2 linked regions of the Macaca fascicularis genome follow. The protein of the gene in region 2 binds, or shares a complex with, the protein of the main gene of each other region. Links are inferred from orthologs where the notes say so. Each region holds a gene or a part of one and is shown on either strand. Other genes may lie near its edges.

The links. Proteins that work in one complex are often made in the same cells at the same time.
Region 1: the proteins of PTPN3 (region 2) and MAPK12 are in contact, whole or in part, in a crystal structure (PDB 4QUM), measured with the Homo sapiens proteins. The link is inferred for Macaca fascicularis from reciprocal best matches to the Homo sapiens genes PTPN3 and MAPK12. Residues at the interface, in NP_002820.3 of Homo sapiens: Arg655, Leu671, Asn674, Arg675, Tyr676, Lys677, Asp678, Val679, Arg751, His812, Ser843, Ala844, Gly845, Ile846, Gly847, Arg848, Met883, Gln886, Thr887; in NP_002960.2 of Homo sapiens: Met182, Thr183, Gly184, Tyr185, Val186, Val187, Arg189.

Annotation. Positions count from the first base shown.
Region 1 is NC_088384.1:1,293,739-1,301,419, reverse strand, and holds the start of MAPK12 (mitogen-activated protein kinase 12), read right to left. Parts: upstream 5,199-7,681; 5' UTR 5,031-5,198; coding exon 4,906-5,030; intron 4,827-4,905; coding exon 4,697-4,826; intron 1,625-4,696; coding exon 1,566-1,624; intron 229-1,565; coding exon 117-228; intron 1-116. UniProt on the Homo sapiens protein: Serine/threonine kinase which acts as an essential component of the MAP kinase signal transduction pathway.
Region 2 is NC_088389.1:48,706,592-48,713,594, reverse strand, and holds part of PTPN3 (tyrosine-protein phosphatase non-receptor type 3), read right to left. Parts: intron 6,038-7,003; coding exon 5,981-6,037; intron 4,287-5,980; coding exon 4,130-4,286; intron 2,268-4,129; coding exon 2,107-2,267; intron 1-2,106.

The DNA of each region.
Region 1 (7,681 bases), on a different chromosome or scaffold from region 2:
GCGGGGACAGAAGATTCGGCAGGTTTCAGCGTACCAGGGCCTCAGAGCCACAGGGCCCTCCTCTGCCCAGCCCCGAGGCCCTGCCTGCCTCCCTGCAGCCTCCCCTGGGGCCATACCCTCAGCCCCTTCAGCATCTGGTACACGAGGAACTGGATCCGGTCCTCGCCCAGCTTCTCATGTTTCATGAGCTTGCCCAGGTCGGTGCCCATGAATGGCATCACCAGGTAACTGTGGGAGAGGCCGGAGCACCATCAGTGGGCAGAGCCAGCCTCTGCATCTCAGAGGCCTACCCAGCAGGCCCAGGCTCAGACCCATCCGGGATCCAGCAGGTGCCCCCGGGAAGGTTACCCTGCAGCACCCGTCTCCACTAGCCTCGGCATCCTCACAACCCCACCTTGCAGTGCCAGGCTCCATCCTGCCCCAACTGTCACTGCCAGCAACGCTCACACCTCCCTCCCACTCTGAGGACTGTCAGACAGGCAGGAGGCTGCCCTTTGGGGTTTTTGTTTTTGTTTTTTTTGAGACGGAGTCTTGCTCTGTCCCCCAGGCTGGAGTGCAGTGGCCGGATCTCAGCTCACTGCAAGCTCCGCCTCCCGAGTTCATGCCATTCTCCTGCCTCAGCCTCAGCCTGGGACTACAGGCGCCCACCACCTCGCCTGGCTAGTTTTTTGTATTTTTTAGTAGAGACGGGGTTTCACCGTGTTAGCCAGGATGGTCTCGATCTCCTGACCTCGTGATCCGCCCGTCTCGGCCTCCCAAAGTGCTGGGATTACAGGCTTGAGCCACCGCCCCGGCCTCCCTTTGGGGTTTTTGAACCCTCTGCTAAAGCGCCCTGCGTGCCAGGCTGGGGCTGAGGCTGCAGGGCTCGAGTCTTCACAGGCAGGGGAGGGAGGCAGTCAGGTTTCAACCTCGGAACTTTGTGCCAGAGATGAGGGAGGTGCCTGGGGGCGATGGGGGCAAGGCAAGGCATCTGGGTCAGAGGGGCTGGCTGAGCCGGTGGAGACGGACACAGGAGAATGGTATTTAGCACCTCCCCAGAGGCCACTGAGGCCAGCGTGGGTCCTTGACCTCTGCAAGTCAGGCGGGAGGCATCTGCTACCCTCTCCAGGCCTTCCTCAGCCTGGCCCTTCACTCTTGGCTGACAAGGTGTGAGTCCCGGGGTGGTCGGCTGCAGGGCAAGGGCAGGGTGGGTCCTCCCTACCGCTTCTCCCCCACCTGCTGGGAAAGGTCAGCAGCTCCAGTTACCGGCCACACACTTGGTGCCAGGGTCCCCAGCACGGGACCTTCCTGTTAACAAATGGTCAGGTCCAAGGTTCACACCTCCGGTGCCGGAGAGCCCAGGTGCCAGGCGTGAAGGGAGGCAGCAGCCCCAGCTCTGCCCAGCTGTGGGTCTCAGGACCATGTGGGGGAGGGTGTGGGGCAGAGTAGTATGGGGGGGGTTGGCAGTGTGCATCCCCCACTCAGGCTACAGGAAGAGAACCCCATGCCAAACTGGAACCTGAAGCCAGTGCCCAGAGCTGCCCACCACCCCTTGTGCCCAGCAGCCAGCCCAGGTCGGCACTCACAAGTCTGTGAAGTCATCCAGGGTCTCATCAGGAGTGAACACATCCAGCAGCCCAATCACCTGGGGGGCCAGGTAGGGTTGAGAGTGCAGCGGAGGACACGGGCTGGGACACCCCCCAAGAGTGGCACAGCCCTCTGGGCAGGAAACCCCCTCTGCAGCTGTCGTCATGCCCCACTGTCCAAAGGGCCTGGCTCTGCCCACTGGCAGCGTGGCCCAGCCCTGGCACACATACCCACAGACAGGTTATTTTTGGATGGTGACAGCCGGGATCTTCTGGGGGAAGGGCAACCCGGAGTCTGGGCTGGCTCTGAACCATCCAAAGGGCTCCTGCCACTTGCCCCTTTCTCCCCTCTTCTCCCCAACCAAGCAGACTGACACCCAGGGAAGGGATAGCGCTATGAGGAGAGGCCAGGCCTCTGCTGGTGAGGCCCAGGTGGACAGCACCATGACCTGCCAGACCTGGTCCCCACAGCACCCCTGGTTGGGGAGATGGACAGTGGACAGGTCATGTGATAACTGCTGCCTCAGCATTTTGGGGTGACAGGGTCCCAGGGAGGCCCGGAGAAGTTCTGCACAGCCAAGGATGGAGGGACAGGTAGACATGTGGGCTGCAGGACACCCGGCAGAGGGCACATGCAGAGTGGCCAAGGCAAGAGGGAGAACACTTGGGAGAGTTTGAGGAACACAGGGAGGGAGGCCAGGTGGCCAAGGCCCAGGCCAGGGAGGGGCTGAGGAGAGGCCAGAGGGAGCCGGCAGGGCAGCACACACCAGGTGAAAGTTTGGCTTTGATCCCAAGAGAAAGGGAAGGATTTAAACGGGTGTGATGCTAAACGCGTCCTGCTGGCCGTGGTGTAGGGACTGGCCAGAGTGAAGCAAGAATGGACCTAAACTGGAAGGACAGCTCTGCCAGAGCCGTGGGCAAGAATGTGGAGGGAGGAGGAGAAGGAACAGAGGCCCGTCCAGGGAGGCCTGGGAGCAGTGGGGTCTGTGGACACGACAGCTGGAGGGTGCCCAGGAGAGCGCTTTGGCAGAAGATGGAAAGCAGTGTCCTGTGGGCTAGGGGCCATAGGACTTGACTTGGCCTCTGTGGTGTGGGGGCTGGCCTGGAGAGGGAGGTGGCATGGGGATGGCAGGACTGGGGCCTGTGGCAGAGCCTCCTCCCCCGCTGAGCAAGGCATGTGGCCTCACAGAGCTTCAGTCTTCCAGGAAGATGGGGTTCCAGGGAAGGAGCCTCAGCTGCAGGCCGGGAGCCCAGGGGGTGGACCCCCAGGCACAGCGGGGACCCCAGGACAGCAGGGCGGTGGCTAAAGAAAAGCCCAGCGCGGTGGGTCACGGCTGCACTCCCAGCAATTTGGGAGGCGAAGGCAGGCGGATCACGAGGTCAGGAGTTCAAGACCAGCCTGGCCAACATAGTGAAACTCCGTCTCTACTAAAAATACAAAAAGTTAGCCGGGTGTGGTGGTGGGTGCCTAGAGTCACAGCTACTAGAGAGGCTGAGGCAGGAGAATTGTGTGAACCCAGGAGGTGGAGGTCGCAGATCGCGCCATTGCACTCCAGCCTAGGCGACAGAGGGAGACCCCATCTCAAAAAAGAGAAGCCCCAGTGGACGGGCGCGGTGGTTCAGGCCTGTAATCTCAGCACTTTGGGAGGCCGAGGCAGGCGGATCACTTGAGGTCAGGGGTTTGAGACCAGTCTGCCCAAAATAATGAAACACCGTCTCTACTAAAAATACAAAGCATTAGCCAGGCATGGTGGCATGGACCTGTAATCCCAGCTACTCAGGAGGCTGAGGCAGGAGAATCACTTGAACCCAGGAGGCAAAGATTGTGGTGAGCCGAGATCATGCCATTGCACTCCAGCCTGGGCAACAAGAGCGAAACTCCATCTCAAAAGAAAAAAAAAAAAAGAAGAAAGAAAAGCCCCAGAGCGCTTGGCTGGATGGGGCAAGGCCCAAGCAGGTGAGTGAGTGGGTGGGTGGGGGCAGGGGGCCGAGGGGAAGGCTACAGTCCTGGGGCAAGGTCTTGGTGTGACGGGCGGGATGGGGGAGTGCAGTGGTGGCAAGGTGGGGGCAGGGCCGGGTGTGACGGGGGTGTCGAGGTGGGGGCAAGGTTGGTGTCCACTGCAAACAGATTTCACAGGGCCCGGGGTGGTGAGCTGGGGTCAGGGTGGGCTATGGGAAGCCTCAGAGAAAAGGACCCACCCAAGGGGCTGAGAGAGTGGCGGTGGCCAGGAACCAGGGGGCAGGTGGTTTGCTGGTGGACGCAGGGACTCATTCTCCCAGGGCACCGGTGGCTCGGATGACCCAGGAGGGTCCAGAGCATCTCACACTGGAGCTAGGGTCCGGGTGCCCAGACCACCTGCCTTCAGGCTGGGCCCAGACCAGGGGCAGGGCAGGAGTGACATGGGGGGCAGTGGACAAGTGGGACTGTGTCCAGAAACCAGAGGGCCCCTGGCAGAGAAGTCAGGCTCTTCGCAGCCAGCCACGCCGTGGGAGAGGCCCAGGGCAGCTGTGCATGGCATCTCACAGGCAGGACTGGAAAGGATGGGCCCCCACAACGAAAGGGAGGGTGTCTGTGAGATGACCACCACGCCCAGTGCCCCCCAAACAGCAGCTCCCTGAACCCTTCACTCACCCCCAGGGTTCACCATACTCCCTACGTTCTGGCGCCCCCCTCCTCCCCCTCCACCGGGTCGGAAGACTAGGGAGATGGACAGCAACAAAGTGGGCTCCACAGAGGGGCTGGAGAGGGGCCCGGATGGGAAAGAGAAGGTGCCCCTTCCAGGAAAATCCTCCTGCCGGGAGCATCCTCTCACCGCGGGCTTCCTGGCTGGGGGCAGGGTTTGGCGTGAGACCTGGAGGATCCCCTGGGCCTGGCCAAGTCGTGTCCCCTGACCAGGGCCTGGCTGAGACGCCAAGTCAAGGGGCTCTTTCCCGGGCCTGGCAGAGGAGGGGGAATGGCCCTTGGGGGAGTCGTCTCCTTGCTCTCCTTCTCCCCTGGGGGCCCACGGCCCGACCCCCGCCCCGCCCCACAGCAGGTTGCCTGGGGAAGGAGTTGCCGGGTGGAGGGACCCAGCCCAGCCGAACCCAGCCGAGGCCGGGGCGCCTTCCCGGAGCGGGGTCGCGCGACTCACGTTCTCGTGGCGCATGTGCTTGAGCAGGCGCAGCTCGCGGTAGGCGCGCTTGGCGAACAGCTCCGACTGGAAGGGCCGGTACAGCTTCTTGATGGCCACCTTAGCGCCGGTGCGGCTGTCCACGGCCGAGCTGCGGGGCGGACCGCTTAGCGGGAAGGCCGGGCACCCCGCGCAGGCCCCGCCCGCCCCGCCGGCCGCCCCGCGCTCACCACACCGCGCCATAGGCGCCCGAGCCCACGGGCTGCAGGTCCCGGTACACGGCGCGCACCTCCCAGGCCGTCTTAGTCACCTCCTGGCGGTAAAAGCCACTGCGGGCAGGCGGCGGAGAGCTCATGGCAGGCCCGGGAGCCGCCCACCCCGCAGAGCCCGCGGGCGGTGCCCCAGGACCGGGGACCTGGGATCGGCGGGGCTTCCTCGGCGTGCGCCCCGGGCCGACTCTGCGCTGCTCGCCCGCCCGCCGCTGGGACGCTCCTGTTCCCGGCCCTTCCCTCGGGGATGTCCCAGGTGCCGACCCTGGCCCGACCCCGACCCAGGCAGCGCACGGCCCCTCCCCCGCCCGGGGACCAACCGGCCCGCGGGCGGCGCGCACGTGACGCCCTCGCCCGCCCTCCGGCCCCTCCGGAAACCCGAGGCGGCCGCCGCCGGGGGAGGGCCGGAGCCTGGGGGGAAGCGCAGGGGGAGGGGAGCGCCGCCCCGCAGCTTTGTCCCGACCTAGGGCCGGACGCGGCGCGGAGATACCCCCGTCAGCCTCTCCCCTTTGGCTGAACTGCCCCGCTCTGGGGGTGGAGCCGGGAGAGTGGGGAGCTCCTGCGGAGACCCTGGGCTCCAGTCCTGACTGCCCATGGTTCCAGGGCGCAGGGCCCATCCTTGACAGCCTGAGCGCTGACTTCTATCGGCAGTCCCAAGTTGGGCTGAGCCCTGTGTACCTAGAGTCAACTTCCCACGCCACCCCCAAGGATGCCCTACCTCTGCGCCTGATCCATCCATCCCCGAATGGGGGGTCCATCTGCACCTGTCTTGCCTGTATCCCTCTTTCTACACGGAGGGGTCTGTCTCCCAAAATCCTCAGGCTGCATCCCCAACCCCACCCCTGTGGCCACTGACCCCGGGCCTCTCAGTCCCATAGGTACCCGAGGGCCCTTTTGGACACCCAACTCCTCCCCCTGCTCCCCCCATCTGCGGGGTGACTGCTGCAAGTGTTGCAAGTGCTGGTGCCCCTGCCCGTCCCATCCCTGCCTGTCCTGTCCTGCAAAACCCAGGCTGAGGGTGGCTGCACTGTCTCCAGCAGGGATGGGGACCTGCTGGGGCCCTCAGCCTGACCCCTCTGTGTGGGCGTTATCCTCCCATATGTCTGGCCCCATCCTAGACCAGATGCTCTGGTGGGCCAAGCCCCACCCTGACACCCCCTCCACAGTCCAGAAACCTGGGTCTGAGGAGGGATGTGGGTGCACCCCGGGAGCCCACTGGGCTGGTGGGTAACAGGATCGCTAGGGCCCTCTGCCCCGCCCTCCGGCCATGAATCAGCAGCTCAGCCGCTCAAGGGCGGGAGGAGCTTTACACCTGGGCTTTGGGCTGTGTTCCGTGGCATTCATCAGCTCGTGCCCAGTGAGCAGGGGCAGCCCGGGGCTGCCCAAACCACAGCTGCCTGTGGCCTGCACCCTTTGTGCCCTGGGCTGCCTGTGGCACTCCATCTACCTCTTTCAGGAAGCCCAGCTGCCACTGCTGTCCCCCTTAACTCCCCGTGGTGGAGCTCAGGGGTCCAGAAGGCCCCGCACAGACCAGGCTTCTGAGGTGGGGCTGTGTCCCCATTCTGCTCCCACCCCCAACCGCCAACACTGGACTTCCCCCAGGACTGACCACTACACTGATGAGGCCCCAGGAGGGCCCCCAACTCCCAGACAGTTTCCACCCCTACCCAAGACCCAAGCAAGGGCACAGACTGTCCCTGGCCCCTAGAGACACTGCCTGACCCCAAATGGTCTGGCCCCTCCCCCACACGTAAGCTGCAGAGCATAGTGGGAACGGGACCAGCACACACATTCTCTGGGTTAAAGTGGCCTCTTTTTCCTTCACCAGGAAGGAAAGGAAAGCTATTTTCCCTAGCCCACCCAGCCCCCGCCCAGGGATGGGCAGACCCTTGCTCCCTTGACACCCAACTTCCCCCCAGCCAGCTTCCCTGACCACTGAGGGGTAGGGAGGTGGTGTCTGGATCTTGGCCCAAAGCCAAGCCTGCCCAGTACATCCCCACAGGGCAGCTGGGGTCACCATCTGGGTGGCCGTCCCACCCTGTGCCCTCAGAGCCCACCCATCAGCCGTGTCCTCCCCTGGTCCCCCTGGGCTCAGACCCTCCAGGGAGCAGGGAGGGTGCCAGAAGATGGCCACTGGTCTGACTGGGGGCCTGAGGGATCTGGCCAGCTAGAGGTGAGTGATGCAGAGTGACCCAGACACTCCCCCCATGCCCAGCAGTGGGGATGGCGGGGGCAGCAGGACCTGGAGTGGCCTTTGGATATGAACCGAGCGAGAGAACCCCCTTTATTGTGCACCCCTGGTGCAGGCACTTGACACCCAGGCTTCCCTGGGCCCCTCGAGGCAAGAGGTCACCCCCTTTCCAGGGCAGAGCCATACCCCCAACTCAGCTCTGGGCAGGGTCCCGTCTCCGAGGTTACTGGATCAGCTCCATCCTGGGACAAGGAAAGAGGACTGACCCGCAGACCAGAGCACCTCAGATCTCCGGCTGCAGGGCCACAACGGTGGGCAGAGGTAGAGAGCGGGCCAGGGTGCGGCGCACAAGTGTCCGAGTCCAAGTCCACACCCGCGTGTGCTACCTGCCTTAGCGTCCCAAGGCCAAACCACCCAGTCACCCCCAGCCTCAGGAGCCTGCTGCGGGTCACATATCCGAGGAGAAAGCCCGTGCTGGCGCTCATGTGGCTGCCCTTTCGCCCACTGGAGCCCCCAGTCTGAAACACCCCTCACAGCATCAGGAAC
Region 2 (7,003 bases):
CAGGTTCAAGCAATTCCCCTGCCTTAGCCTCCCAAGTAGCTAGGATTACAGGTGCCCGCCACCACGCATGGCTAATTTTTGTATTTTTAGTAGAGACCGGGTTTCACCATGCTGGCCAAGCTGGTCTTGAGCTCCTGACCTCAGGTGATCCACTCGCCTCGGCCTCCCAAAGTGCTGGGATTACAGGCGTGAGCCAATGTGCCCAGCCTACATTTTCTTCTTTTTAACCAAAAGTGTGAACAGCCTCCTGTAGGCCACTGAAAAATAGGGCTATGTCCCTTTGTAGAATACTCAGTAATATATCTATTAGTTTTACCCAAGTAATTATATTGTTACTACCCTTTTATCCAGACTTCATTTCCATAAGGTACATAATTTTTGTTTTATACTGTGTCAAGATGATTAATAAAAAATGTTAAATGGCTGGTTGTGGTGGCTCATGCCTGTAATTGTAGCACTTTGGGGGGCCAAGGCAGGTGGCTTGCTTCAGCCCAGGAGTTTGAGACCAGTCTGGGCAACATGGCAAAACTGCATCTCTACAAAAGAATAATACAAAACAAATTAGCGAGGAGTGGAGCGGTGCATACCTATAGTCCCAGCTGCTCGGGAGGCTGAGGTAGGAGGATCACTTGAGCCTGGGAGGTGGAGGCTACAGTGAGCCAAGATGGCACCACTGCACTCCAACCTGGGTGACAGAGACCCTGTCTCTAAATAAAGAAATACATTAATTAATTCCCTGCTGATTGTTTTGGGGGGGGAAGTCAGTCACTTTTACTTTCTGGCTTGTGGATTTTTGCTTTCTACGCTGTTCAATACACATTGCTTTAATTTATTTTCACATGCATCATAAAATCAACCTTTCACTCACAGCTCTCTGCTTTGCATTCCTTCGTTTTCAGCATTCCTATTACTCAAGCCTTCCTGAATTACTCTGCAGTCACACACATTTCACAAATGTCCGGGTTTTGCTTCTTTTTCCTTTATGTGGTTTTCTAATAAATAATGCATTGTTGATTTCTGTTCTTGAGTCCCATGTGAGACTCTCTTCCTGAATTTATGAACCCAGACTGTTGTTATTTCTAATGATGATCTATTTTCTTTTGTTGACCTATTTTATGCTTTTTGGTATTCTTTTATTACAGGAATTACTCTGTTTTCTTCTACTTTCAAATAAATTAGGGAGATGGGCTGGGTGTGGTGGCTCACGCCTGTAACTTCAGCATTTTGGAAGGCCGAGGCGGGAGGACTCCTTGGGTCCAGGAGTTCACGACCGGCCTGGGCAACATAGTGAGACCCTACCTCTATTTTAAACAACAACAACAACAACATATTTAAAAAATAAAAATAAGAAAATAAATTTGGAAGATGAACACATTCTATTTTAATTCTGTTAGTAATCAGTAAAACTGGCTTAAAAGCTGAGTCTCCTTTGGTTCCCTTTTGTTTTATAAAAAATGTCTGTGTGTACCTTTGTCAACAGCCTGAATCCTAGGGATCACAGGTTCCCCTGGGAAAGACAGGCGTTTGAGTTTGGTTTCTTGTGTTTATAGGGTTCTGGGCAAACTGGGAGGGCAAGACACTGTGCCCTCATGGGATGACACTAATTGCTCCAAATTCCAGTGCACGGCTGGGGGTGGTCAGAGAGCTGGCTCCTTCACCCACCCTGGGCTGCTCACCCACAACTGTCTCTCCACTGCCTTCTACTGCTGGGAGTTTTGAGCTTTTGTGTTGGCAGCTAAATACGCTCAGAGTCCCTCCTCCTCAGTTTCTGGCATGTTTCTCCATGACTACCAAATGTTACTAGAATAAGAGGGTGAGACAGAGTTCAGCGAGGGTGGCCATCCTGATCCCTGCTTGCTGCTCCGAGCCTGAGGTGGTGCTGCCTGCTGTGCTCTGTTATCCATGACAAGCACAGGCCTCGCCCTGTCAGTCCTCACAGAGACTCAGTTGACTGTTTTTGGTTTGTGAAACACACAATCACCTCGGCCGAGGAAATGAGGGCTTGTGTCTCTGCCTCATTTCCTCTGCTGCTCAGAGGCAGGGACAGCCTCACAGGCGACACGGCAGTGGCCCAGGCCTTGGGATTCAGCCTCCAGAGGGTCTTACCTCAAACTGGATCAGCACCGTCCCGCTTTCGAGGCCCTTCTTTAGTTGTGCCATGGACCCCTCCAAAGTGTCCCCACCCTCTGGACACATGGGGAAAATGGCCTCGGGGAAAAGCTGGTTCAGTTCATCTTCAGACTTGAAGTCAGCGAATGAGCGGACAGCTGTAATGTACAAGACAGGGCATCTGACTTGTGCAGCAGCACCCGGGTTTATCAGTTTTCCTCAAACAAATCACACCTATGACACCTGAATGCAGATGGTTGAAAACATCTTATTAAATGATTAAGCTACACGGTAATCATTTGCACCAAAGATACTACTTCTAGGTGAATGATTCAATATGTGTTAATTACATAAAATGACATGCTAATCTTCCTGGTTAGTTTTAAATAATGGTGTTTAGCACCCAGAGGTTTTTGTCAAAGGTAAAGGAAAGGGAAAGAGTGTTTTTTTAAAAAGCATATTGTCTCTGCTTGCTCTTTCTGACCTGGTTATTCTTCTACCCATCCCGACTCCCCTTTCTTTCTCAGGTTTTTTCATTTACTTCCCAAAACTGGGCATTTCCCCAGGCATGAGGGTGAGGTCAAAGGCTTTCCCTGTGACACCATCATTCCTGAGAGCGCAATCCCTAACTCAGGGCCATTTCTGTGTGGGAGGCTCCTACGTAAATACTGTAGTCCTAGCATCTCTTCTGTGCTTCAGCCCTACCTCTTTAGTGCACATTCTCCCTTCATGTTAAATTCAATACAGGTGAAAGCAAAGCTAGGACCCCCCCCCCACCTCCCACCTTGCACAGGTGGGGATCCGGAGAGATCCAATAAGGCCTCACGGAGGAGGTAGGGTCAGAGCTGGTCCTAGTGGCTCTGGACTGAGAGTTGTAGTGGGAGCAGAGCTGAGGCAGGAGCGCAGCAGTGTGGGGTGTGAGCCACATGTGCTAGGAAGGCAGAGACACAGGGCCAGGGCTTTGCAGCTACAACCTTCATTTACTTTCAGTATTTTACAGTTGTGCAGGGTGTTCAAGGAACTTGATGTATTATTTTATAACAACAACTATAAAGACAACATTGTGATGCTCAGTAGGGGCTGTCCTTCAAACCTCTGCTCCCATCAGGCAGCAATGCAGGTACTTTCCAGTCTAAGTGCCATTGATTGATTGATTGATTGCTTGATTGAGATGGAGTCTCGCTCTGTCACCCAGGCTGGAGTGCAGTGGCACGATCTTAGCGCACTGTAACCTCCACTTCCTGGATTCAAGTGATTCTCCTGCCTCAGTCTCCTGAGTAGCTGGGACTATACCCACACGGCACCACACCTGGCTATTGTATTTTTGGCAGAGATGGGGTTTCACCATGTTGGTCAAGTTGGTCTCGAACTCCTGACCTTGGGTGATACAACCGCCTCGGCCTTCTAAAGTGCTGGGATTACAGGTGTGAGCCACTGTGCCCAGCCCCAAGTGTCATTTAATCTTCACAACAACCCTGTGAAGTCGGGACCACTCCTGTCCTCCTCCACACCTGAGCCAGCTGAACCACAGAATGGTTATGTAACTCCTGCAAGGTCCCTAGCCCGCAGAGGCAGAGTGAGGAATCACCTGAGACAGTCAGGCTCTGCTCTCCTCACTGCCTCCCCGACAAAATCAAACATGCATGAATAAAATATCACCCGATCATTTGGGAAGGGGCTGAAAATGCAAATGTCTGCAGGGTCGTGCCGCTTAGGGACTGCGTGACGTGGGCTGCGTTGGGCCTGGGAGGAATTGGGAGCCAGGGGCTCATGTCCTGTATAAAGAGGGTGGGTGGGCGCTGCCTCCCTCCAGAAGACTGGCCACATGGGGACAGGCTCATGTGGGCAGATCTTCACATTTTTCAAGTGAGAAGCCAAACATTGGGTTATTACCTGAAGATTCTTGATTTTCAAATGTTGGCTACAACCTCAACATTTTCAAGAGCAGATAAAGGGCTGGAGCAGGCGTGGCTTTGCTAGGGCAGTGTCCCTATGGCTCCGCCCCCCAGGTGGCCATTACCTCTCCTCCTGATCACCAGGGCCAGCTCCCGTGAGTGGGACTCCCGGCTGGCTTTGATGAACATCACCACTTGGTCATGGGTGTGTTCTGAGATGTCCCGGCCATTGATTAACACGATTTGATCCCCTTCGTTCAGCTTAGGAATGCAGGTGTCCGCCTGGGTGGAGGGGAAAAGCAAATTTCTCCTGTTACCATAACACAGTCCTCGGGGGAAGAACCATGACTTGCTCTGCTCCCAGACACCTGAGACCACGATCAAGTTTGCCTTCTCTCCCTCGGGTAGTACTGTCATTGTTTTTATAATACATCTACTGCTATGTGGACATGGTAGTTGGTTGCACGATATAAAGAAGTACTGCTCAGAATATAAGTTATAAAACATTTCAGAATAAGGCTATAAAAACTGCTGATGCCATTCCTCTGTGGTAGTCAACCTTCACTTATTATAATATAACTATACCATTTCCAGCCTTTTGTTTCCTAGATGTACGGTTAGGAAATGATTTGCCAGCTAGAGGTGAGTATTTATCTGTCTTGCAAAGGTGAAAGCTTTTGTAAGCTTCACAGCAGAGGCAAAAACCATTATGGAGAGAAGTAAGGTACTGAACAGCACAGGAAAGAAAGCCTTCTGAATTTACAGAAACCATAAACAGTAACAAAAGTTAAATGACAAGAGCTTAAGGACTACTTCAGAGTAATCCCAACATGGCTCACTGTAAGGAGGCACAGTGACTCCTACTGCTTTAAAAAAGCAGATGATTAAAAGGTAACTATGGAGCCAGGTGAGGTGGCACACATCTGTGGTCCCAGCTACTTGGGAGGTTGAGGCAGGAGGATTGCTTGAGCCTAGTTTGAGGCTGCAATGATCGCACCATTGCATTCCAGCCTGGGCAACGGAGCGAGACCCTGTCTCTCAAAAAAGAAAAGAAAGGTTAACTATGGAAAGTGATGAACATGTTAATTTGTTTGACTGCAGTACTATATGTATAACAAGACGTCATGTTGTATACCTTGAGTATGCACAACAAAAAAATTAAAGGAAAAAATTACTTATCATTATTTTAAAAACAATCAAATAAATTTATTTTATTTTATTTTTGAGACAGAGTCTCACTCTGTCGCCCAGACTGGACTGCAGCAGCGTGATCTCAGCTCACTGCAACCTCTGCCTCCTGGGTTCAAGGAATTCTCCTGCCTCAGCCTCCCGAGTAGCTGGGATCACACCTGTGCGCCACCACGCCCAGACACTTTTTGTATTTTTTGTAGAGACGGGGTTTCACCCTGTTGGCCAGGCAGGCTGGTCTCAAACTCTTGGCCTCAAGTGATTTACCCGCCTCGGCCTCCCAAAGTGCTGGGATTACAGGTGTGAGCCACTATGTCTGGCCTAAAAACAATAAAATAAATTTGAAAGAAAAACAAAGCAAATGCTCTTCTTAGGAGGCCTAAACAGAGGATGAAAGGGGCACTGGTGGAAAGATGGTGAGAAGAGGCACAGGGCCCACGTGCCCACTTAGAGTGAGCAGGACAGCAGACTGCCTGAGTTTCCTTCTCTTGAAAAGGACTTCCGAAAATTTAATGTGCACACCAGCCACTCAAGGCTCTTGTTAAAAATGCAGATTCCGGTTCAGCAGGCCTAAGATGGGGCCAGAGAGCCTGCATTTCTAATGAAGTCCCAGGTAACACGGGTGCTATGGCTTCAAAGAGCACAGTGAGCAGCAAGGTTCTAGAAAACATGGTGTATCTAAGCACGTTCTTTGCTCTGGCAGAAAAAGAAATGGGACACAGAAACAGAAACCTGTTAGAATTAGGGGAGAACAAACATGAGGAATAACATGGAATGTATTTACTTACAGGTGACTCTGGGTTTATCCTTGATACCACAAGAGGCATCTTTTGATCCACTCCTCCCTGTAAACATTTTAAAGTAAAAAAAAAAACAATGTTTTTTAAGTTAAAAAAAAACAAACAAACACTGGAGTAGCCACAGCATCAACAACATGGAGGTACCAATAAATGTGAGTCTTTGGTACAGCGAGGCTTCAAACTTCACTATCGCTGATTAGAATCACACGTCATTTCAGAAATACGGAACAAATTCCTGACCCCTCGATCCAGCGGGCTGACCAGGACTCTGTTCAGAAGCCTCCCTCTGCCATCCCCACAGTTCATGAACTAAAAGATGCACTCAGAGAGAGCAAGCTCCTCCTTAAAAACGCAGACGCCCCCAGGAGAGGGACTCCACAGCATGTCTTCCGAGTGCTGCTAGAAAAGGGGGCTTTCAGCAGAGGTGAGCAAGGCCTGGGAAAGGGGCGCACCCTGTGAGCGCATCTGGCTGTGAGCGCTGGTCCTCAACACAGCTGCTGGGGCAGATGAGGGTGTGCGCGATGGCAGCTGGGGGGTAGGGGACCACCTGCCCTCACTTTGTCCTAGAGCAGGGGTGAGTACACGTTTCCTGTAAAGGGCCAGAGAGGCTTTGTGGGAGTGAGGGGTCTGATGCAACTGCTCAACTCTGCAGTCATTAACCCACCAGTAAACAAATAGGTGTGGCTGTTACCAAAAAAACTAGTTACAGAAACAGATGGGATTTGGCCTATGAGTTTAGTTTGCAGATCCTGCTTAAACGTGCCTGGAGGAGAGTGGTGGCCCTGCAGGTTGAACTTGAATTGTTTTCTCTTATCAGCTTCAGCAATGCTGAGGGGTTCTCTTAATAGCATTCCTGAAGTGGGTAGATCTGTTTGCCAAGTGTGTGCCCTCATCTCTTGGAACCTCAGTATTCATTTGCAAAATGGGTTTAAAAATACTGACCTTACCACTTATTATCAGAACTTAAGAAGGTGCTATGAATCTAGTGCATAGCCAATGCCAGGCACAGAG